Macaca mulatta: one gene and its partners. The protein of the gene in region 2 binds, or shares a complex with, the protein of the main gene of each other region. Links are inferred from orthologs where the notes say so. Each region holds a gene or a part of one and is shown on either strand. Other genes may lie near its edges.

What was found.
Region 1: CDHR2 (region 2) and ANKS4B share a complex: the UniProt entries of both Homo sapiens proteins name them as parts of the IMAC/intermicrovillar adhesion complex. The link is inferred for Macaca mulatta from reciprocal best matches to the Homo sapiens genes CDHR2 and ANKS4B.
Region 3: CDHR2 (region 2) and CDHR5 share a complex: the UniProt entries of both Homo sapiens proteins name them as parts of the IMAC/intermicrovillar adhesion complex. The link is inferred for Macaca mulatta from reciprocal best matches to the Homo sapiens genes CDHR2 and CDHR5.
Region 4: CDHR2 (region 2) and USH1C share a complex: the UniProt entries of both Homo sapiens proteins name them as parts of the IMAC/intermicrovillar adhesion complex. The link is inferred for Macaca mulatta from reciprocal best matches to the Homo sapiens genes CDHR2 and USH1C.

Annotation. Positions count from the first base shown.
Region 1 is NC_133425.1:21,123,685-21,129,483, reverse strand, and holds the start of ANKS4B (ankyrin repeat and SAM domain-containing protein 4B), read right to left. Parts: upstream 3,537-5,799; 5' UTR 3,462-3,536; intron 2,996-3,461; 5' UTR 2,829-2,995; intron 1,295-2,828; 5' UTR 1,189-1,294; intron 1-1,188. Other genes in the region: ZP2 (zona pellucida sperm-binding protein 2), read left to right, coding at 5,558-5,736. UniProt on the Homo sapiens protein: As part of the intermicrovillar adhesion complex/IMAC plays a role in epithelial brush border differentiation, controlling microvilli organization and length. Plays a role in assembly of the complex.
Region 2 is NC_133411.1:185,529,636-185,534,667, reverse strand, and holds part of CDHR2 (cadherin-related family member 2), read right to left. Parts: intron 2,863-5,032; coding exon 2,793-2,862; intron 2,643-2,792; coding exon 2,037-2,642; intron 1,126-2,036; coding exon 1,054-1,125; intron 288-1,053; coding exon 238-287; intron 1-237. UniProt on the Homo sapiens protein: Intermicrovillar adhesion molecule that forms, via its extracellular domain, calcium-dependent heterophilic complexes with CDHR5 on adjacent microvilli. Thereby, controls the packing of microvilli at the apical membrane of epithelial cells.
Region 3 is NC_133419.1:511,102-515,371, reverse strand, and holds the end of CDHR5 (cadherin-related family member 5), read left to right. Parts: intron 1-301; coding exon 302-392; intron 393-557; coding exon 558-655; intron 656-833; coding exon 834-1,034; intron 1,035-1,187; coding exon 1,188-1,301; intron 1,302-1,384; coding exon 1,385-1,958; intron 1,959-2,420; coding exon 2,421-2,587; intron 2,588-2,762; coding exon 2,763-3,188; 3' UTR 3,189-3,283; downstream 3,284-4,270. UniProt on the Homo sapiens protein: Intermicrovillar adhesion molecule that forms, via its extracellular domain, calcium-dependent heterophilic complexes with CDHR2 on adjacent microvilli. Thereby, controls the packing of microvilli at the apical membrane of epithelial cells.
Region 4 is NC_133419.1:47,920,905-47,926,689, reverse strand, and holds the start of USH1C (harmonin), read right to left. Parts: upstream 3,800-5,785; 5' UTR 3,433-3,799; coding exon 3,397-3,432; intron 3,143-3,396; exon of another isoform or gene 2,994-3,142; intron 1-2,993. UniProt on the Homo sapiens protein: Anchoring/scaffolding protein that is a part of the functional network formed by USH1C, USH1G, CDH23 and MYO7A that mediates mechanotransduction in cochlear hair cells. Required for normal development and maintenance of cochlear hair cell bundles.

The DNA of each region.
Region 1 (5,799 bases), on a different chromosome or scaffold from region 2:
GAGAGTTCCTTCCTGTACTTTGTGGGTGGAAAGGGAACAAGGCAAGGATAGAGAGACCTTGATTCTGAGGCTTATTTCTAAAGCCTTTTGATTTTCCAAAGCACTCGGCATGCCCAGGCACCATATTCTGGGGAAATGTTTTCTGTGCTCCAACCCTCGCATCTTCTTAATCCTTTTCCCGGGGATGATATTCAATGTATTTAAAACCCATACAGCAAAAGCATGAACAAATCAGAACAGACAATGGTTGCAAATGCCCAGCACAGCCACGTGGACTCCCCGGACGCTGGCAACCCTCTCCTTTCCTGGATGACGCTGTCAACTCTCTGGGACAACTTTCTTGACTTGTAATCCAAATACATATGTATAGACCCACATGCAGACACATAAAGTATAAATATGCACATAGGTTTGAGAAAGAAAATAAACTTTGTATCTGAAGAATGCAAAGCCCCTTTAAATTATCAGGCCCAGAGAGGCATTGAAACATGACAACTATCATACCTTACTTCCTCCTAAGGCTCAGTAATTATCTCTTGGAGCTACTTGATATATGGGCTCTACACTGACACCAAGGAGCCATAAAATTAACCTAACTACGCCATACACTGGACACCATAACTCATACCATACGCTAGATGCCATTATTCGTACCCTATAGTTCAACAATGTATAGCCAATCACTAATCAGTGTTCTTTTTTTTTTTTTGAGATGGGGTCTTGCTATGCTGCCCAGACTGGTCTTAAAAGTCCTGGGCTCAAGCTATCCTCCCACCTCAGCGTACTGAGTCGCTGTGACTACAGGTGTGAGCCACTGTACCCAGCTAATCAGTGTTATTTCTATAAATCAATGAGTCAAGAAACACCATATCAGCCACTAATCCCAGCACTTTGGGAGGCCGAGGCAGGCAGATTACGAGGTCAGGAGACCATCCTGGCTAACATGGTGAAACCCCGTCTCTACTAAAAATACAAAAAATTAGCCGGGCGTAGTGGCAAGCACCTGTAGTCCCAGCTACTTGGGAGGCTGAGGCAGGAGAATGGCGTGAACTCAGGAGGCAGAGCTTGCAGTGAGCCAAGATTGCACCACTGCACTCCAGCCCGGGCAACAGAGCAAGACTCCATCTCAAAAACAAAACAAAACAAAAAACAAAGAACCCACTTGTAACTTGTAAGGGGAGAACTCACCAAGGCAAGGGAAGTGTTTCCCGGGCAGCTGTCCACACTTTGGCTCAAGTAAACTCTTTAAAATTATATTATCTTCTTCCTTTAGGTCGACAGGTTTTTCGTTTTCCTATTAAAGCAAAACATGAAAGCATAGTAGATATATAGCCCTGAAATTCAAGTTTTATTGCAGGTATCTTTCACATCAGTATTCATAGATCTGAATGAGCCTATAGAATCATTTGCAGTAGCTGAAGAGTATTCCATAGTTTATCCAATCATCTCTAAATGGTGATATTTAGATTGTCTTTCAAAAATATTTTTATAATTGTTGTGGAAAACAAGGACAGCAGATTCAGAATTTAAGAGTTATAAACTGTCATTTATAAGAACTGCACTTCAGAAAGAAGGCATCTGCCCAGATGAGGCAACAAAACTAGTCTTTCTTTTATGCATGAGACTCCCTTCAAGAAATGCCTGGTGGTTAGCAGGAGAGAAATGGTTTCATGATACTTACATAGAGCCCAGGGCAGAGAAGAGGAGAGGGAACACCTTATAATAATAAATTAGCAAATTTTAAAAGGTTCATTAAAAAGAGTGTGGAAAGCATATATTTGAATGAGGTCTGCTGTTTATTTAGTGTCTTTTTTTTTTTTTTTTTGAGACAGAGTTTCACTCTTGTTGCCCAGACTGGACGCCATTACTCGCACCCTATAGTTCAACAATGTATAGCCAATCACTAATCAGTGTTTTTTTTGTTTTTGTTTTTGTTTTTTTGAGATGGGGTCTTGCTATGCTGCCCAGACTGGTCTTAAAAGTCCTGAGCTCAAGCTATCCTCCCACCTCAGCCTCCTGAGTCGCCGTGACTACAGGTGTGAGCCACTGTACCCAGCTAATCAGTGTTATTTCTATAAATCAATGAGTCAAGAAACACTGTATCAGCCACTAATCCCAGCACTTTGGGAGGCTTAGGCGGGCAGATCACGAGGTCAGGAGACCAACCTGGCTAACATGGCGAAATCCCATCTCTACTAAAAATACAAAAATTAGCCAGGCGTGGTGGCGGGCACCTGTAGTCCCAGCTACTCTGGAGGCTGAGGCAGGAGAATGGCGTGAGCACAATCTTGACTCACTGCAGCCTCCGCCTCCTGGGTTCAAGCGATTCTCCTACCTCAGCCTCCCGAGTAGCTGGATTTACAGGTGTGTGCCGCCATGCCCAGCTAATATTTGTATTTTGGGTAGAGACAGGGTATCACCATGTTGGCAAGGCTGGTCTCAAACTCCTGACCTCAGGTGATCTGCCTGCCTTGACCTCCCAAAGTGCTGGGATTACAGGTGTGAGCCACCGCACTGGGCCTATTTAGTGCAATTTTTTAAAATTTAATTCAAAGTTCCCGGATACATGTACAGGACGTGCAGGTTTGTTACATAGGTAAATGTGTGCCATGGTGGTTTACTGCACCCATCAACCCATCACCTAAGTATTGAGCCCCGCATGCATTAGCTATTTATTTTGATGCTCTCCATCCCCCGGCCCCCCAACCCCTGCCACCAGGACCCAGTGTGTGTTGTTCCCCTCCCTGTGTCCTCATTGTTCAGCTCTCACTTATAAGTGAGAATAGAATATTAAGAATCATTTTTGTAAAGACTTTAGTTTTTCCTACCTCCTGATAGAACACACTGTTTTACGGAGCAGCTATTTCTTCCTGTGTTCAAAGTCAGCTGCTGAACACACTGTAGCTTCCTGCTTTTTCCAGAGCAGAACCCTAGACATTGATGCTCATGGGCCCGGAGCCATTTGTTCGGTGGCTGTCCCTAGCACACCACAGGTCTGGGTTAGGTGAGACAAACAAAATTAATCTCTGGTGCACATACCAGCTTCACCAGGCCACAGTGGGCTTTCTCACCGCATCTCCTGCTTGGGGTCTCTGTGCTGCCCCTTAACCTTTTAGAAACCCATAATTTGGGGGCTCTGACCAAAGTCGCCCTTTCCAAGACAAAAACTTCCCACTCTGGAGAAAAGACGCCATCTTGAGGGGAGCGCGTAGCAGGGTGGAGAGGGAGGTGGGGTCTGAGGGAGGCTGAATAAGCACATTAACCCATCACTTCTCTGACCACCTTCTCAACAGGGCTCTGAGTCTCACATCTATGCTTTTCCCTCTAATGTCTTCTCCTCATAGTCTTAACCGTTGCGGTAATGAATTACATTTGCAGAAATGGTGCCACTTTTCAGAAAATATGCATAGAAAGAGAAACTATTGCTATCATGCTTTGGCTGTAAAATGAAATCATTTTACCATCTCTATCCCCAAAAACTCGTCTGTATTTTGCTCCCTCTTCCCAATTCCACTGGGATGTAATCTACCAATTCCTGTAAAGAGGTTAACCACTGGCCACCACAGATTTTCTCGCCTCCCTCCCTCCCTCCAGGTATTTTCCAGGTTTTCCTGATTATAAGAATCACCTGTGGTGCTCGTTAAGCAAATATTTCCCAGGCACGTCCTCTGGAGAGTCCAATTCAGTAGCCTTTGGGTGGGACTCAGGAATCTGTGACATTAATGAGAGCTCCATGTGATCCTTTTGACCAAGGAGTCGGGGAAACATTTTAATCTACAGTGTTATTTCAGATGCCTCGGGTTACTCCTCAAAGGCAACACATGAATCAATACTGTTTAGGTTGATGCAGAAATAATTGTTTTTTGCCATTAAAAGTAGTGGCAAAGGGCCAGGCGCAGTGGTTCACGCCTGTAATCCCAGCACTTTGGGAGGCTGAGGCAGGTGGATCACTTGAAGCTAGGAGTTCGAGACCAACCTGGCCAACATGGTGGAACCCTGTCTCTACTAAAAACACAAAAATTATCTGGGCGTGGTGGTGGGCGCCTGCTACTGGGAAGGCTGAGGCAGGAAAATCGCTTGAACCCGGGAGGCGGAGGCTGCAGTGAGCCGTGATCGCGCCACTGCACTCCAGCCTGAGTGACAGAGCGAGACTCCATCTCAAATAAATAAATAAATAAAAGTAGTGGCAAAAACCACAATCACTTTTGCACCAACCTAGTAATTGCAAATGTCACCCATCACTTGTATAGAGTCTAGGCATTATATTCACCTATTTTAGAACATGGGCTGCAGACATCTAGTTATCTCAAAGAGCAATGAGAGATGTTGAAAAAAATACATTGATCAGGCCTCAGGAAATCTGAGTTCTCCACCTGGCCCCTGACACTGTTGGGGCAAGTTTCCTTGCCTCAGTTTCCCCACTGGGAAACTTACAAGTGCTTTACAACAACAAAACATTCTTATTAGATCACTACTCCCTTTTACCCAGAAGTTTTACTTTGAGGAATTTATCTTGAGGGTTAACCAAGGAAATGTATCAGAATGCTCATGATGTTATTGCTTATAATGATGAAAAATTGCAAGCTACCTTAATGCTCATAATTACGGAAGTTATATAAACACAGATTTATCTCAACATTGAAGACTAGGCCACCCTAAAATGGTAACAGAGAGCTTTATGTTTAATAGGTTATAAAGTGACAGTGGCAGATTACAAAACAGTATTTAAACTTTCCTCCCAGTTTTTTAAAAAATTGTATGTGGTGTTTGTAGAAACATGTCTGTAAAGTTACCCACCTAAATATTAGCAGTGGTACTATTATGAGTGACTTTTGCCTTTTCTCTGTATCCTTCTGTAATTGTATTTTTTTGCTGTAAGCTTAAGCTTTTACACTTGGGGTCAATAAGGGTTCATTCATTTTTTTAAAGATATTTCATGTGCATTATCAGGGTAACTTCTGCAGTAGCCAGGAGACTAGATGTTACTTAAAAGGTTTTAGTTTAGGTGCAATGACTCATGGCTGTAATCCCAGCACTTTAGGAGGCCGAGGTGGGCAGATCACCTAATTCAGGAGTTCGAGACCAGCCTGACCAACATGGTGAAACCCTCTCTCTACTAAAAATACAAAAATTAGCCAGGTGTGGTGGCACGCACCTGTAATCCCAGCTACTCAGGAGGCTGAGGCAGGAGAATTGCTTGAACCCAGGAGGCGGAGGCTGCAGTGAGCCAAGATTCCACCAATGCACTCCAGCCTGGGTGACAGAGTGAAACTGTATCTCAAAAAAATGTTTAGTGATGTGAACAAGACTTGTTTTTTTCTCAACAAAGCCCATGATTCTCTTTCACTCTACATTGCAGTTGTAAATAATTTGCCCAAAAGATCCTAATTTCCCCCGAAGTTATAGGGAAAACACCAATTTACTCACCTGCAGCTGATTTCCGCGAACTCTGATTTCATGCCTGGCCCACAGGGGCAGCTGGCAGAATACCCGGCACAATCTGTCAGGAATCAGAGAGGCCACTTCCTTCCCCAATCCTTCCCTTTCAGCTGGGAGAATGGGAGAAGAGTCAGGTGCCCACAATGGGGAGAGCTTGTTGATGCGACTGGATTCCTGCTATAAAAACACAGAGCAGCCCACCCTCTACCCGGTTGATCTGGTAGTGCCTTTTGCTATGGCGTGCGGGCAGAGAGGAGGCTCCTGGAGACCCTCGGGCTGGTTCAATGCAGGCTGGAGGTGAGTAATTCTGGAAGTGGAGGGAGCGGCTATGATAGCTTTGTTTGTTGAAGTCCATTCTTC
Region 2 (5,032 bases):
CAGAGTAAGAAATATCTAGACTGCGAGTGGTGTTTGCGGTCATGACATTTTTATGAATGCTACATTTAACACAGTGAAGTTTGATTACACTGATTAGATAGGTGTTTCCCTTCTGGGGTTTTCTTTTTCATATGTTGGAGCCCATATATTTTCTTTCTACCATTAAAGGCCTGAAGGCCTCAGCTCTGTGTCCACTGGGGCTCACGTAACCAACAAAGGCTGGAGCCAAGAACTTACCCGGACAGAAGCCACCTCCCGGTTGGGCAGCACAAGTTCAGGGATGATCACTGCAGGTGTGAATGGGAAGGGGGTCAGCAGGGTTGGGACACTGCCCACCTGGACCAAGGCTGGCCATGAGCACAGCTCAGGGCTCATCCCTCTAAATCTGCCCTCAACCTCTCTACCAAAAGAGACCCCCATTACAGTCACCACTGGGCCAGAAGTTAGCAAGTCATCCACCTCCCATTGTCACAGACCCACAGGACCATGAGGTAATGGAGGCATAGAGAGGCAAGGTCTGGCCCAGGGCCAGACAGTTAGGTCAGGCAGAGCCGGAATGGAAACTCCAATGTTGGCTGGGCGTGGTGGCTCACACCTATAATCCCAGCACTTTGGGAGGCCAAATCATAAAGCAGGAAAATCATTTGAGGCCAGGAGTTCGAGACCAGCCTGGCCAACACAATGAAACCCCATCTCTACTAAAAATACAAAAATTAGCCAGGCACGGTGGCACATGCCTGTAGTCCCAGCTACTCGGGAGACTGAGGCATGAGAATTGCTTGAACCTGGGAGGCAGAGATTGCAGTGAGCCGAGATCGTATCATTGCACTCTAGCCTGGGCGACAGAGTGAGATTCCATCTCAAAAAGAAAAAAAAAGAAAAAGAAAAAAAAAATTCCAGTGTCATCTCCTATTGCAGCCCTAGGAAGAGGCAGAATTAGAGGCCTCCCCCCTTTCTAAAAGTCCCCCCTGGGTCCATGGAGGGTCTGTGGGGGTTGCTCAAAGGTGGCCTCATGGAGCAGGGGTACGGTGTGTAAAGGGGGTTGCTGCTTACCAAAAGTCTTTTCCTCAGGCAGAAAATAGGGTGCATTGTCATTTATGTCCTCGATGGTAATGAGGAGGCTTCCTAGGAGACAAGATAAGCTGGCTTTGGCTCTGGGCAAGAGCTTGACCCAAGGAGCCTGGGCCTCAACCTGGTGGTCCCCAGCCTCAACCCCATGCCCCACAGCCTTAACCCCATGCCCTGCAGCCTCTCTCCCATGTGTTCCCCATGTCCAGTCCCCTCCCCTGCTCCTGACCCAGAATGCCTGCTCAGTCCCCTCCCCTGCTCCTGATCCAGAATGCCTGCTCAGTCTTCTCTGGCCTATGTGGGTGGGAGTATTATCCCAGACCTCAGAGCTAATAAGCAGCTTGTCAAAGTCACACAGCAATAGTGGTGGGCCAGGACTGGGCCCAGCCTAGGTAGATCTCACCTATGACATTATATGGACACATTCTAACTATGTAAGCTGGTTGTTTAAATGCCCATTCTCTGCCTCAGTTTCCTCATCTATAAAATTGGATAGGGACCGCCTACCCCACAGGTTGTGCGGAAATGCAAAAATGCTTACGAGGTGCCCAGTGTAGTTCTTGGCTGTCATAAGGACTCAATATATGCTAGTTGTTAATGTGGCTATTATTGCTATTTGGTGTCAGAAGTGGGATACAAGTACACATCTGACTCTGAAGTATGATCTTTCTTTCACAGCATCTTGCAAAATAATGGCATTACTTTGATGCTACTGCATGCCAGGCACTGCAATAAATGCCTTACATCCATGTTCTCATTGAATCTTCACAGCCAACCCTACTGCCCAACTCCACTGGACAGATAGGGAAACTGAAGCTTGGAGAGGGTTTGGGACTTTCCCAATATTTGCAGCTGGAAAGGGCTGGAGCCAGGATCTGAGCCCAGATCTTATAAGTCCCAGCCCAGGGCTCCTTCCCACAGCCCCTAAGCTGTGGCCTGCCAAGCCCTGCAAGGCCAGGCCACCTTACCATTGTTGCTGTAGGCCTGGAAGCCAGGGTCCGTGGCTAGGTCACAGGCCCGCACAACCAGCGTGACCAGGTCACAGGCCTCGTAGTCAATGGCTTCGCTCTGGTTGATGTACACAGAGCCGTTGGCCACCACTGAGAACCAGCCCCAGCACAGGCTGCCCACATCGACCCCGGCCTTGGTGCAGAGAATGTTCACAAGTTGTATCTCCAGCTGGGCGCTGGTGTCCACATCCGAGGCAACCACCACAGCCACCTGGCCATGCTGTGAGCCATTCTCAGCCACACGGATGCCCCGGAGTGAGGCTACATCCAGGGTGGGGGGATTGTCGTTCACATCTTTCACATTCACGTGGACGTCTACTATGGTCTCACTCCCCTGGGGGTCTGGGTTCTCGGCACTCACTGTCAAGTTGAAGACGGGCTGTGTCTCGTAGTCCAGGCTCACGTCCGGGGGCAGCCGGAGGTAGCCCTCAGCCCACCCAGCCCCCAGCACCAAGCCTCGGATCATGAAGTAGTTGGCACCACTCCCTGACAGGCTGAAGCTGATGCGGTTGTTGACTTCCGTCTGGTCTGCATCCCAGGCCTTCACCACGCCTACTAGCACTCCTGTGGACAAGGGGCAGAGCTCTGAGGGACTCTTGGCCCCGCCATAGGAAGCCTCCTCTGTCCTCGCCTCTCTTGGAACTCCAGATCCACCCTGACAAAGCCACGCCAGGCCCCAGCCCCAGTGACTCTCCTGGCCCAGGGAGCAAGTACCTGGATCCTCCTCCTTCACCGTAAAGTTATAGCTGGACTGGTTGAAGATGGGCAGGTTGTCATTGATGTCCTGCAGGCAGAGATAGGTCTGAGTCCCCGGGATCCCATCTCACCCTCCCCAGAGCCAACCTGAGAAACCAATAGTCCCTGTGCTCTGAGGCACCGGTTCTGCTAGTGCCCAGACCTCACTGCCCACTTCCCAGATGAGGAAACCGGCTCTGAGAGGAGGGAACTTGCCCAGGTCACACACCTGGGGTTCGGGACCTACAGTGGGACCTTGGCCTTACATATCCATCCTCAGGAAGCCCTGCTTGCTTCCTGTTTCTCTGACCACAGCTTTAGAATGTTCTAGACCCTGCTTTCTGGAAACACAGTTCTGGGTCCCCACCTGCGGCCCTGCCTGGCCCTGTTTGACTTCCATCTCTCGGATTTACTGTGTTGGCACCAATACCATTATATGTCCACAAAGGCCCCAAGGCCCACAGTTTCCCTTGTCCCCTCCTACCCCTGTCCCTCCTGCACACAACTGAGCCCACGACACCAGCTCTGTGCTTAGGCAGAGCTGGGCTCCGGGGACCTGCAGAAGCTTAGACCTGCCCCTGCCTTGGACACCAGCTGTTTTCAGCTCTCACCTCTGTGGCCAGCCCTAGCCCACTGGGCACAGCTGGAGCCCTGCAACTATTGTCACAGCCTGGAGGTGACTCTGCCCTCCCCTGTGTCCCCTAACACTGGCATGTGCTTGGGGGATGCCCTGAGCACGCCAGGCCTTCCCGGGTTTGTGGGTCACATAACAGGTGTTTGTTTTTCTGAATAACCCTAGAGTGAACATTTGGAAGACAGCGTCCTTGCACCTTAGCTAGATGTCTTTTCTGCTGCTAATTTCCCAGAGATGACATCATTGGCTCCATGCACAAGACCAGCTGCATTCTCAAGGTCACCCTAACTCACAGAAGTGGCTAAGAGCGCTGAGTCACATCTTGCTGCACCTCTGCCTCATGTGTGACCTTGACCTCTCTGGACCTCAGCATCCTCATCTGCAAAACGGGGTAGTAGTCCCACTAACAGGGCAATTGTGAGGACTACTCACAGGGGTGAAGAAACCTGTGCACTCAGGAAATGAAGTTCTCTCTTTGCAGCCCTCCCATCCCAAGGACAACCAGCAAGTCCTCATTCTGCTGCGATTTCTTCATTTCTGAGGTCTCACTCTCTGACCCTTGTGTGAAAATGGCACAGCCCAATCCAGGGGACATGGGACTGCTATGTGCAGTGGTGCTGGCTGTGCACTGCACAACCCTATGGGGTGCCATCTACATCACAGACATGGCAGAGGTGCACATTTGTTACAATACTGTTCCAGAGGAAGGTGACTTGTAGGCTGGTGGCAGCCTTAGAACCAGACTGATCGGAGTCAAAACCCCATTTTGTGACCCCAGGCAAGGTACTGAACCTCTCTGTGCCTCAGTTTCTTTTTTTGAGATAGGGTCTTGCTCTGTCTCATAGGCTGGATTGCAGTGGCATGATCATAGCTCACAGTAGCCTCAACCTCCTGGGCTGAAACGATCCACCTGCCTCAGCCTTCCAAGTAGCTGGGACTGCAGGTACATGCCACCATGCCTGGCTAATTTTTTATTTTTGTAGCGATGGGGTCTCGCTATATTGCCCAGCCCAGTCTCGAACTCCTGGGCTCAAGCAATCCTCTCACCTTGGCCTCCCAAAGTACTGGGGTTTTTGGCATGAGCCACCGCACCCAGGCCTGCCTCAGTTGCTCGATCAATAAAATGGTAATAAGCCGGGCTCAGTGACTTATGCCTGTAGTCTCAGCATTTTGTAAGGCTGAGTTGAGAGGATCGCTTGAGGCCAACAGTTCAAAACTGGCCTGGGCAGTAAGTGACACTCTGTTTCTATGAAAAATAAATTTTAAAAATTAGCCAAATTAGCCAGGCGTGGTGGCACGCATAGTCTTAGCTACTTAGCAAGCCAAGGCGGGTGGATTGCTGGAGCTCAGGAGTTCCAGACCAGCCTGGGCAACACGGAAAAACCCCATCTCTACAAAAATAAAAAAATTAACCAGGCATGGTGGCATGTGCCTATAGTCCCAACTACTCAGGAGGCTGAGGCGAGAGGATCACTTGAGCCTGGGAGGTTGAGTCTGCAGTGAGCCATGATGGCACTATTGCACTCCAGCCTGGGTGACAAAGGGAGACCCTGTCTCATAAATAAATAAATAAATAAATAAATAA
Region 3 (4,270 bases), on a different chromosome or scaffold from region 2:
AGACCCCGGGAACCCCCCGCTTCCTAAATGTCTGCTTAGCCGTCAAGACAAGCATCGTGCAAATGGAACTCAGTATCTTTGGGCAACTTATTCGTTAGTGAGGGACCCACAGGGGTGTGACTCACTGTGATACTGGGACAAGGGACAGTCCTAGACAGGCAAGGATGCCCGGCCACCAGCGGGACTGGGCCCCTCCTCAGCCAGCCCTGCCCTGGCTGACCTTGATGGGGAGCCAGAGGGGCCAGGTTGGGGCCATCCACCCCAGCCTCACGACGTGCCCTCCTCTCCACCATCCTTGAAGCCATCCCCCCTCGTCCTGCGTCCCGGACCCATCTACGCTGAGGATGGAGACCGCGGCATCAACCAAGCCATCATCTACAGCATCTTCAGTGGTGAGTGGGGCCCAGCCCTCAACAATGCCCCGGACCCCTCTCTGTCCCTGTCTCTGTCCCCACCTTGGGCTGGGGAAGCCCCAGGGGCACCTGCCAGCAAGGCAGAGCTGGCTGGGTCCCTGGGCCTCAGGAGGCCGGGACTGAGCACTTCCATCGTCCTCCCAGGAAACGTGAACGGTACATTTGTCATCCACCGAGACTCCGGCAACCTCACCATGGCCAGGAGTGTCCCCAGAGCCATGACCTTTCTTCTGCTGGTGAAGGTGAGGTAGGGACCTGCACGGGGGTCAGGGCAGTGGGGGCAGGGTGGAAGGTAGGGCGGGGGTCAGGGCGGGGGGGCAGGGCCCCTGCCAAGTCTGCATCTATTCTTCCTGAGCCCCAGGCTTCAGCACCAGCTCCACCGTCAACCCCACGAGTCACGGCTGCCTCCCCCGCCTCCAGGGCCAGCAGGCCGACCTTGCCCGCTACTCAGTGACCCAGGTCACCGTGGAGGCTGTGGCTGCAGCCGGGAGCCCGCCCCGCTTCCCCCAGAGCCTGTACCGTGGCACCGTGGCACTTGGCGCTGGAGCAGGTGTTGTGGTCAAGGATGCAGCTGCCCCCTCTCAGCCTCTGAGGGTCCAGGCTCGGGACCCGGAGTTCTCGGTAGGTAGCACACGCAAGGCTGATGCCTGCCGCCCCCACGGCAGCCTTCCTGTTGCCCAGGGTCCCTGGGTCCACCCGGCCTCCCCTCTGTGGGTGGGTCAGGGCTGCAGATGGGAGGCAGCCTGGCCGGGGACTCAATGAAACCCTGTCCAGGACCTCAACTCGGCCATCACGTATCGAATTACCAACCACTCACATTTCCGGATGGAGGGAGAGGTTGTGCTGACCACCACCACACTGACCCAGGCGGGGGCCTTCTACGCAGAGGTGAAGGGCAGGGCAGGTGGGCATCTCCAAGGGTGTGGGGCTTAAAGACGTGCCCAGGAGAGACAAGCCCCTTCCTGCCCTAGGTTGAGGCCAAAAATACAGTGACCTCTGGCACTGCGACCACAGTCATTGAGATACAAGTTTCCGAACAGGAGCCCCCCTCCACAGGTGAGCCCCCATCCCCAGAGACTGGAGGAACAACTGGGCCCTGGACCAGCACCACTTCCGAGGCCCCCAGACCCCCTGTGCCCTCCCAGGGACCCTCCACAACCAGCTCTGGGGGAGGCACAGGCCCTCATCCACCCTCTGGCACAACTCTGAGGCCACCAACCTCGTCCACACCCGGGAGGCCCCCCGGTGTGGGAACCAGCACCTCCCACCAACCAGCCACACCCGGTGGCGGCACAGCACAGACCCCAAAGCCAGGAACCTCTCAGCCGATGCCCCCCGGTGTGGGAACCAGCACGTCCCACCAACCAGCCACACCCGGTGGTGGCACAGCTCAGACCCCAGAGCCAGGAACCTCTCAGCCGATGCCCCCCGGTGTGGGAACCAGCACATCCCACCAACCAGCCACACCCGGTGGTGGCACAGCTCAGACCCCAGAGCCAGGAACCTCTCTGCCGATGCCCCCCAGCAGGAACACCCCATCCTCAGGTAGCACCCACTCCGTTGCCTTCCCTCCCTGGCTCAGATCACTGGGTGGTAGGGAAATGCTGTAGGAAGGGTCCACCCCAGGCTGACCTGGCCTGACTATGAAATCCCAGAGGGGTCTGTTTGGGACTGACAGACACAGACAGGCCAAAGGCCCTCAGTGAGGTGAACTGTGATGTGTGTAGGACAGAAGCCAGATTTGGGGTCCAACGAATCCCATGATTCCCACAGCTGCCGGCTCACCCTGCAGGCCCCTGCCCCTCCTGTGAGCAGCCTCTTTGTTGGGGGGGGGGAGCCCAGGGTCTCACTGGGACACACAGGCCCCTCCAGCCAGGGTCAGCAGAGCCTGAGATTTGGGAGACAGCCCAGGCCTGGGTGATTTCCAAGTGTCTCAAGCCTGGCACAGGTTGGCATGGGGAATGCCTGGGGTGCTCAACAGTGCGGGGGTGATGGCATTTTCCACAGCGATGCCAGGTGGCGGCCCCTCGGAGGACAAGCGCTTCTCAGTGGTGGACATGGCAGCCCTGGGTGGGGTGCTGGGTGCACTGCTGCTGCTGGCTCTCCTTGGCCTCACTGTCCTTGTCCACAAGCACTACGGCTCCCGGCTCAAGTGCTGCTCCGGCAAAGCTCCGGTGAGGCCCAGGGTGGAGGGCAGGGCAGGCGACCCGCAGGGAGTGGGGGACAGGAGAGGGGAGGGCAGAGGGGAATATGTGGAGGCGGAGGGGTGTCCACCGTGGAATGAGGGTGTGGAGAGGCCACAAGGCAGCAGAGACCCAGGGACCCCGCTGACGCCTTCACTCCTGCTAGCAGGAACCCCAGCCCTCAGGCTATGACAACCAGGCGTTCCTCCCTGACGACGAGGCCAACTGGGCGCCTGCCCCCAGCCCCACGAGCGACGCCAAGCCCGCGGAGGCACCGCCGACGCCCGCGGAGCCCGCGCCCCCTGGCCCCGCGCCCTCGGGCAGTGCCCCTGAGGCCCCGGCAGCGGCCGTAGCCGGGGGAAGCCCCGCAGCGGTGAGGTCCATCCTGACGAAGGAGCGGCGGCCGGAGGGCGGGTACAAGGCCGTGTGGTTCGGCGAGGACATCGGGGCGGAGGCAGACGTGGTCGTTCTCAACACGCCCACCCTGGACGTGGATGGCGCCAGCGACTCCGGCAGCGGCGACGAGGGCGAGGGCGCGGGGCCTGGCAGGGGTCCCCACGATGAGCCCGGCGGCGATGACTCGTACATCTAAGCGGCCCCTCCACCCTCTTCCCCGGCCGCGCGGGCGCTAGAGGTCCCGCTCCCCTAACCCCCGACCCAAGGCAGAATAAAGCAAGGCTCCCCAAACCCAGGCCGTGGCGTGGGGCGGGCGCGCGGGTCCGTGCGGGCCCCATTTGCTCGCGTCCCCCATCGTCCTCGGCGCTCGAGCCCGGGTGTGCAGACGGGGGTGGCGGGTCCCGCCGCGCTGTCCCCACCCGAAGGCTGCAACGCTTCCCGTAAACCACCTGCTGTGCCCGCCGTCTTCCCGAGGCTCCGCGCCAGCTGGCCCGCGAAGTTCCTCTCCTGCTCTCACCACAGCCGGAGAGGGCACTCCCCTCCCCCAGTCTGCACTGGGGATCTCAGGCACCCGCTCAACTCAGACCTACCACTCCCGACCCGACACAGAGATTGCCTGGGGAGGCTGAAGAGCCAACGCAAATCCCCAAGACGATGCGCTTGGAAGCCAGTGGTCTCAAACATCTGCCGGGCTGGGGGTCCTAGTCCCCTTCTGAAATCTACATGGTTGGGTTGGGGCGCAGCATTAAACACCCACCCAGAGGCCTGCACTGAGGCACGCGGGGGTCGGTGCGCGCGAGTGGCCTGAGCAGGAGCCGGACCAGGAGGCCTAGGGGTGAGAGACACCTCCCGGTCGCTTCTCCCAAGGCCAGAGCCCAGGCTGGCCACCCATGCCCAGAACCATCAAGGGGTCCCTTGTGGGTCGTCAGCACTGTCCCTGATGAAAAGACACTATTAATTCCTTTCCAAATGTTTTAATTGCGAGAGCGTCTGATATTCTTGTCTGAACAATCTAAAGAACCCAAAGGGGGCCGCATGGTGGCTCCCGCCTGTAATCCCAGTACTTTGGGAGGCCAAGGCGGGTGGATCAGCTGAGGTCAGGAGTTCAAGACTAGCTTGACCAACTTAGAGAAACCCCGTCTCTACTAAAAATACAAAATTAGCCGGGCATGGTGGCTCATGCCTGTAATCCCAGCTACTCGGGAGCCTGAGACGGGAGAATCACTTGAACCCATGAGGTGGAGGTTGTGGTGGGCCAAGATTGTGCCACTGCACTCC
Region 4 (5,785 bases), on a different chromosome or scaffold from region 2:
TTTAAATGTAAATCATTCACACTATAAGAAAATCCCAACCTAACCATGGCCTATCAGGCCCCTATCACCCCTCTGACCCATTTCTCACCATTATCTACAAATGATTCCTCTGGGACACGCTGTCCTACTTGCTGTTCCATACAGGCAGGCATCTGCTGGCCTCAGCGCCTTCGCACTTGCTGCTTCCACTTTGGGGAACGCTCTTCTACATGTATCCCCGTGGCTCCTCTCCTCACTTATTCCAGGTCTCTGCTCAGACGTCACCTCTTCAGAGAGGCCTTCCTGACTGCCCACCTTGTTACTTATTATCTCTCTCCCCATCTTAGTTTATTTCTTCATATAATTTATCACTACCTGGCATTACACGATACTTTTGTCGATTTCCTTTTAACTGTCTGTCCTCCCCACTAGAATGTACTGTCTAAGAGAGCAAGGGCATTATTTTGTTTTTCAGTGCTTAGAGTACTGCCTGGCATATATTGAGAACTCAGTCAATATTTATTGCCTATGTGAATGAATGAATGATTAGCAAATTCCTAGAGAGTGGTGGCTGTTTCTGATCTTCTTATTCATCCCACCAGGTCGTCCAATGCCTGGCCTCAGGCAGAGTACACAGCTATGCTCATAAATGTGTGACTGCTGAAGAGGCAATAAATACTTTTAAGCAAATGAGTAACCAAGTTCCTGCCATGTGCTGGTGCTGCGAACAGAGGAGCAGTCTCCTTTTGAAAGCTGCTTCTCTGAGGGAGAAAACAGTCTCTGACCAAGCCCTGCTCCCCCAAATCCTGGCCCAAGGTTGCTACTAGTTATTGGAAGGGCATGCAAGTGCTCCTGGCAACCTTGGGGTAACTTCACAAATCAAAAGGAGTTGATGCCTGGAGTCTGTTGGCTCACACTGGACACTCTGCAGGTATCAGTTGGAAAAAGTGTGGTTACTGTGGGCCCAGAGCAGCCAGTACTTTAATTGCTAGTCAGTCTTGTCTGTCTTGTGAGGTAAGTACCACAAACTCCATCTCACAGCTGAAGAAACTAAAACTCAGGGAGAGTGGGTGGCTTGGCCAAGGTCTTCCTGACAGTAACAGGGCTAAGATATGGTCCCAGTTCTGCTAACTCCAGATAATAAATAACAGTGGACATTTATTGAGGGCTCCCTAAGTGCTAGGGTCTGTTTAAGCTCCCCACACACATGTAGATCTCATTCAACATTCATGATAACCTTATTAGTTAAATATTGTTATCTCTTTTCACAAATAAGAGCACTGAGGCACAGAGAGATTAATTGAGTTGCTCAAGGTCACACAGCATTTTCCATTATAACACACTACCTTAAATATTACCTCCAACAACCAAGGATTTAGATCATAAACCATTTCCTCCAAAACACTAAGGAAGGTACCCCTACAAAGCAAACAACAGCAAGCTGTAAATTTCTCCCAGCATATCTGAGTGCCTCCTCTCTATCCCCTGCTGCTTCATCCTCTCTCCCAGTTCCTGGATGATCCCCAGCCTGGGAGGGGAAGGCTGTGGCTGTCTCCAAGGCAGCAAGGCACAAAGTCCAGCCTGGGCCTTGCCTAGCACATGGCGCCTGCCCTGCCAGCACACAGGGATATTAATAAGTAATGACTCTTGTGATGAGGAAGAGTAGGGCAGAGGAAACATGGAGGTCGGAGGCCCTTTGAAGCCTGTGGGACCTGGGGAAGAGGAACAGGGCAAACCCAGGGTCTGCATCAGACACCAGGGACCCAGGAGACGATTCTTGCAAAAGAGACAGAGTAGGTACCCCACAGAGTGAAGGCAGAAGACCTGACATTATTTCAGGCCAGGGGCAGGAAAGTGAAATTCAACCCTGAGTCTTGGGTTGGGGGACGGAAGGTTGAGCTCCTTCAAACTGGGTTGCCTGAAATCTACACTCACAAAATGTCCTTAGCGGCTGAAATTTCTTCCGACATGTCTCTTTGCAACAGGATGTACCGGTGAATGCTGTCTCAAGCTCCCCTTGGCATTCGCCAGCCCCTAAATTCCTACTGAACTTCCAGCTATCGCCCACCCGTGGGAGCAGGACCAGGGATGCCCAAGACCATGTTTTCAGGAGCCTTCTGCCAGTTTGAGCTGTCCCTTTGTGCCCCTACAAAAGCTTGGCCCCAACAGGCAGCACCCAGACATGGGTAATTACCAGAGTAGAGTCTGCTTCCCACCTACACCACCAGCAATTTGAGGGCACAGACTGGGTATCGCTGAGAGGATGCTCAAAACATGATTATTAAATGAATAATTGACCCTGGGCCCTTGGCCCCAAGCCCCTGCGGCCCCTACTCTGGCTGGCTCCTTGGGCTCCTATGGGCCTCTCTATGGGAAGGAAGGGGTTAAGGACCCTGACCTTCCCTACCTGAGCTCAGTCCTCAGACCAGGAAGAGGTTTGGCTTGGTCTAAAGACACTGCCCCCCTGGGGTCTTTGGGAGAGCCTTGGGTCACACAGTTGTTAATAGTTACCTGCCCCTTAGGCAGGGCCTGTGGGGAGATCCAGATTCCACCCCCACTCCCCCAACCCTCCGTGGCTTCATCCCCAGACTCAGAGGCATCCTAAGGCCTGGTGAAGAGGTCGGCTGGATATCTTTGATGACCCTCTCTGGTCTCAGGGCCTCAGCAGATTCTGCATAGCTTTGTGAATTGTTCTGGAAATGCCCTGTGTAAAATCCAGCCGCTTCCAGTGATGGTCCTTTCGGATCCCAGACCACCAGTAAGGCCCCTCACTGGGACACGCCAGGGTGGACCCGGCTCTGCCTGAAGGATCTGGCTGGCCAGAGCCCAGCTCCCACGCCCTCAATACCTCCTCCCTTCCTCCCCACCGCACCCGGGTCAGCACCAGCTCCTCAGCTACTTCTCAGGCCCTAAGAAACGCCCTTAGGCAGGCAGGGCTGAAATGCTTCTAACTCATGTTCTGAGGTCAAAAGGCAGAGAGAGAGACGTCTAGTTTCCCTTCTCCCAACACTCACCTCTCAGATACTGCCCCAGACTCTCTCCACAAGCCTCATCAGCCCTGAGCTGGGGGCACTAGGAAGGAGAGGGACTTGCCCACAAAGGGGGCACCTCAGAGAAGCGGCCAAGACTGGAAGGAATTCAAACCCCCGAGACGTCCCCGCCCCTGGAAGGCAGAGGGAGAAAGCTTGGCAGAAGATCGATCTGTTTAGCAGTACCTGAGCCCGGAGTCCCCGTGTTCCCTCCCTCACTTTACTGGGGATCCCTGCTGCCAGTCAAACGACCTTCGGGTGTCCCAGCCCACCCAGAGCCATCAGGTGGGGCCGGAAAAGGGAGGGGCAGTGCCGGGGTGTCCACCCCTTACCCACCGCGCCCAGGACTCCGGAGTCCCAGAAGCCTGGGGCGCCCCACAGCTCTGACCTTATGCCGGAATTCTCGGGCCACTTTTCGGTCCATGGCTGGGCCAGGTCCAGCTGTGTCGTTGAACGACCGGTTCCTTCGGGTGCCCGGCTGCCAGGAGCTGGAAGGAACCGCGACCGCGACCCGGCCAGCCGCCCTCCGAGCTGGGGACGCGGCCTGAGCGCGGAGGGGCGGGGCCGGGCCGCTGTGGGGCGGGGCCGCTGCGAGGCTAGAGTTGCAGGTGCTCAATCGTCGCCTCCCCCTGAAGCCTGGGAGCAAATGGACCCAGTGTGCCTATGGGCCTGTGGTGGCAGTAGCTGGGCTTCAAGCTGGTATTTCTCTTGACGTGGTACCTGATCACATGCGTTTGAGGAAGAAGATCGTGGAGATGTAGGGAGGAGGTTTGGGACTTTTTGTGATGACTGGAATAGAGAGATCCGGAAACTATTCACACGGGTGGGCAGGGGGCGGGGCAATCTAGTCCATCTTCTCTGGATACTCCGGAGGGCTCATGGCCCTCCTGGACTGTCAGCCCTTGCTACGCCTTCACCTTCAACGTACCTTCTGTCCTAGCTTCCTCCTGCACTTTTCCACCAGGGAGAAATCAATCCTTGCTCTGTGAATTCCTTGGGGGCAGGGCCAGGTTTTACTGTGGGCCGCAGGGGTCTGAACCAGTGGGTATGGGAATGGCCCTCTCAAGTGATTTCCCCTCCCACCTTCCCTAACACCTCCACTCCCAACAAAACAAGACAAAACAAAACCCAAACCCAACACACTCCCATATCCATCGAAGCCTGGCGGAGCCTGGCAGTGACATTTTGATCTATGGCTGACCTTCACCCAGGGCCCAGACCCTCTGGTTCATTTAATTCAATTTGGTCAACATTTGCTTAACTCCTAGGTCTGGTGCTGGGTGCAAAGACAAGGATGAACCAGGCCTGGAAAGGAATGAAAGGAAAGAGGGGCTAGGAGAGGGGTGATAAAAACGTGTAAATCAGGGGCTGTTAAGTATGGGGCTTGTGCCTGAACTTAACCCAGGGAGGCACCTGCGCCCTTTGCACCCTGTCAAGCGCAGGGGCAGGGAGATGGACAGCAGCTTACATCAGGTAACCACTTAAAATTGTAACTTTGGGGCACCTAAACACCCCTCTGCATCCCTTTCCCCAATAGCTGAAGTTTTACAAGCACACTATTTTTGTTTGGGCTAAATTATTGCCTAGTTTAAGATGTAAATCCCTCTTGAAGAAGAGCCTTAAAATATGATCTGTTTTCTCACCTTAGTATTAACTATTAAGTCAGTGATAAAAGGGAAAGACTTGTGGGATTTTTGAATGGTCCAGAAAAGGCCACACAAAATGCATTGCCCTCTGACTTACTTCATTGATTCTCTACATTGAAAAAGAATGTCATATGGCTGTTTATTTTGTATTTAGAATCCTGGCAGAGGTGAGTGAATGTTCTTACCCAGGAGAATGCTGTTCACCTGCCACCCCAATCCTTATTTTACATTGGTCATCACCCCCACAGACTCCCTCCACCTTAAAATGCCCCCTGCTTTGTTTTGAGAATAGCATTGAGACCTAGTTCTCCTTTCCATGAATTTTTTTTTTCAAGCTTCCTTGGAGACAATCAGCTTTTGCCTATTTCTTAACCAGTGTTCCTTAAGGCTGCATCCTTAGCTCTTTCCTCTTCATCTTCCTATCTGTGCCCCTAGCTTCCTCCTGTGTGAAGATAGCTATGTGTGCTTTCTTTACCACTATATGCCTAGAACAATGCATGACATGGAATCAATGCCAAACAAATTTGTTGAGTGAATGAATGAATGAATGAATGAATGAATGAATGCATCTCAAATCTATGCCCTTGCCTAGGAGTCTACTGGGGCCAATACCACCACCACCACCACCAACATCATCATCCTATGTAAGACCTGGCATTTAGTTGGTGTTCCCTAAGTGCTGATGAAGTGAACGATGTACAGGTTCCCCAGGTGCTCAGTCCCATGTTTTCACCATTTTAAAATTCCTCCTGGGCAGACAGTGGACCTTGTTCACACATATAAAGTTGTTTTGTCAAAGTTTGGCCTTGATGGTGGCAACAACATAGGAGTATGAAACACATTTATTATTCAGTCGTCATTTCCTGAGCTAGGGCAGGAGATTGTGCTGGGCATTCAGAGGACTAAGGCATGATTCATTCCTTAGAGGTGCTCAAAACTGGTCATAGGATAGGGATGTGGAGACCCAGGTGGAAGTTGAGGTGGGGCGTGGTGGGACATAGGCTAGGACTCCACAGGCTCTGCTATTGACCACTGACCCCTGAGTGGCATGTCCCAGGGCCGCAGCATGGCCCTCTGTAAAAGGAGAGGATAGGGTCAGACTCATACCCGCATCTTGGGTCTCTGGTATTG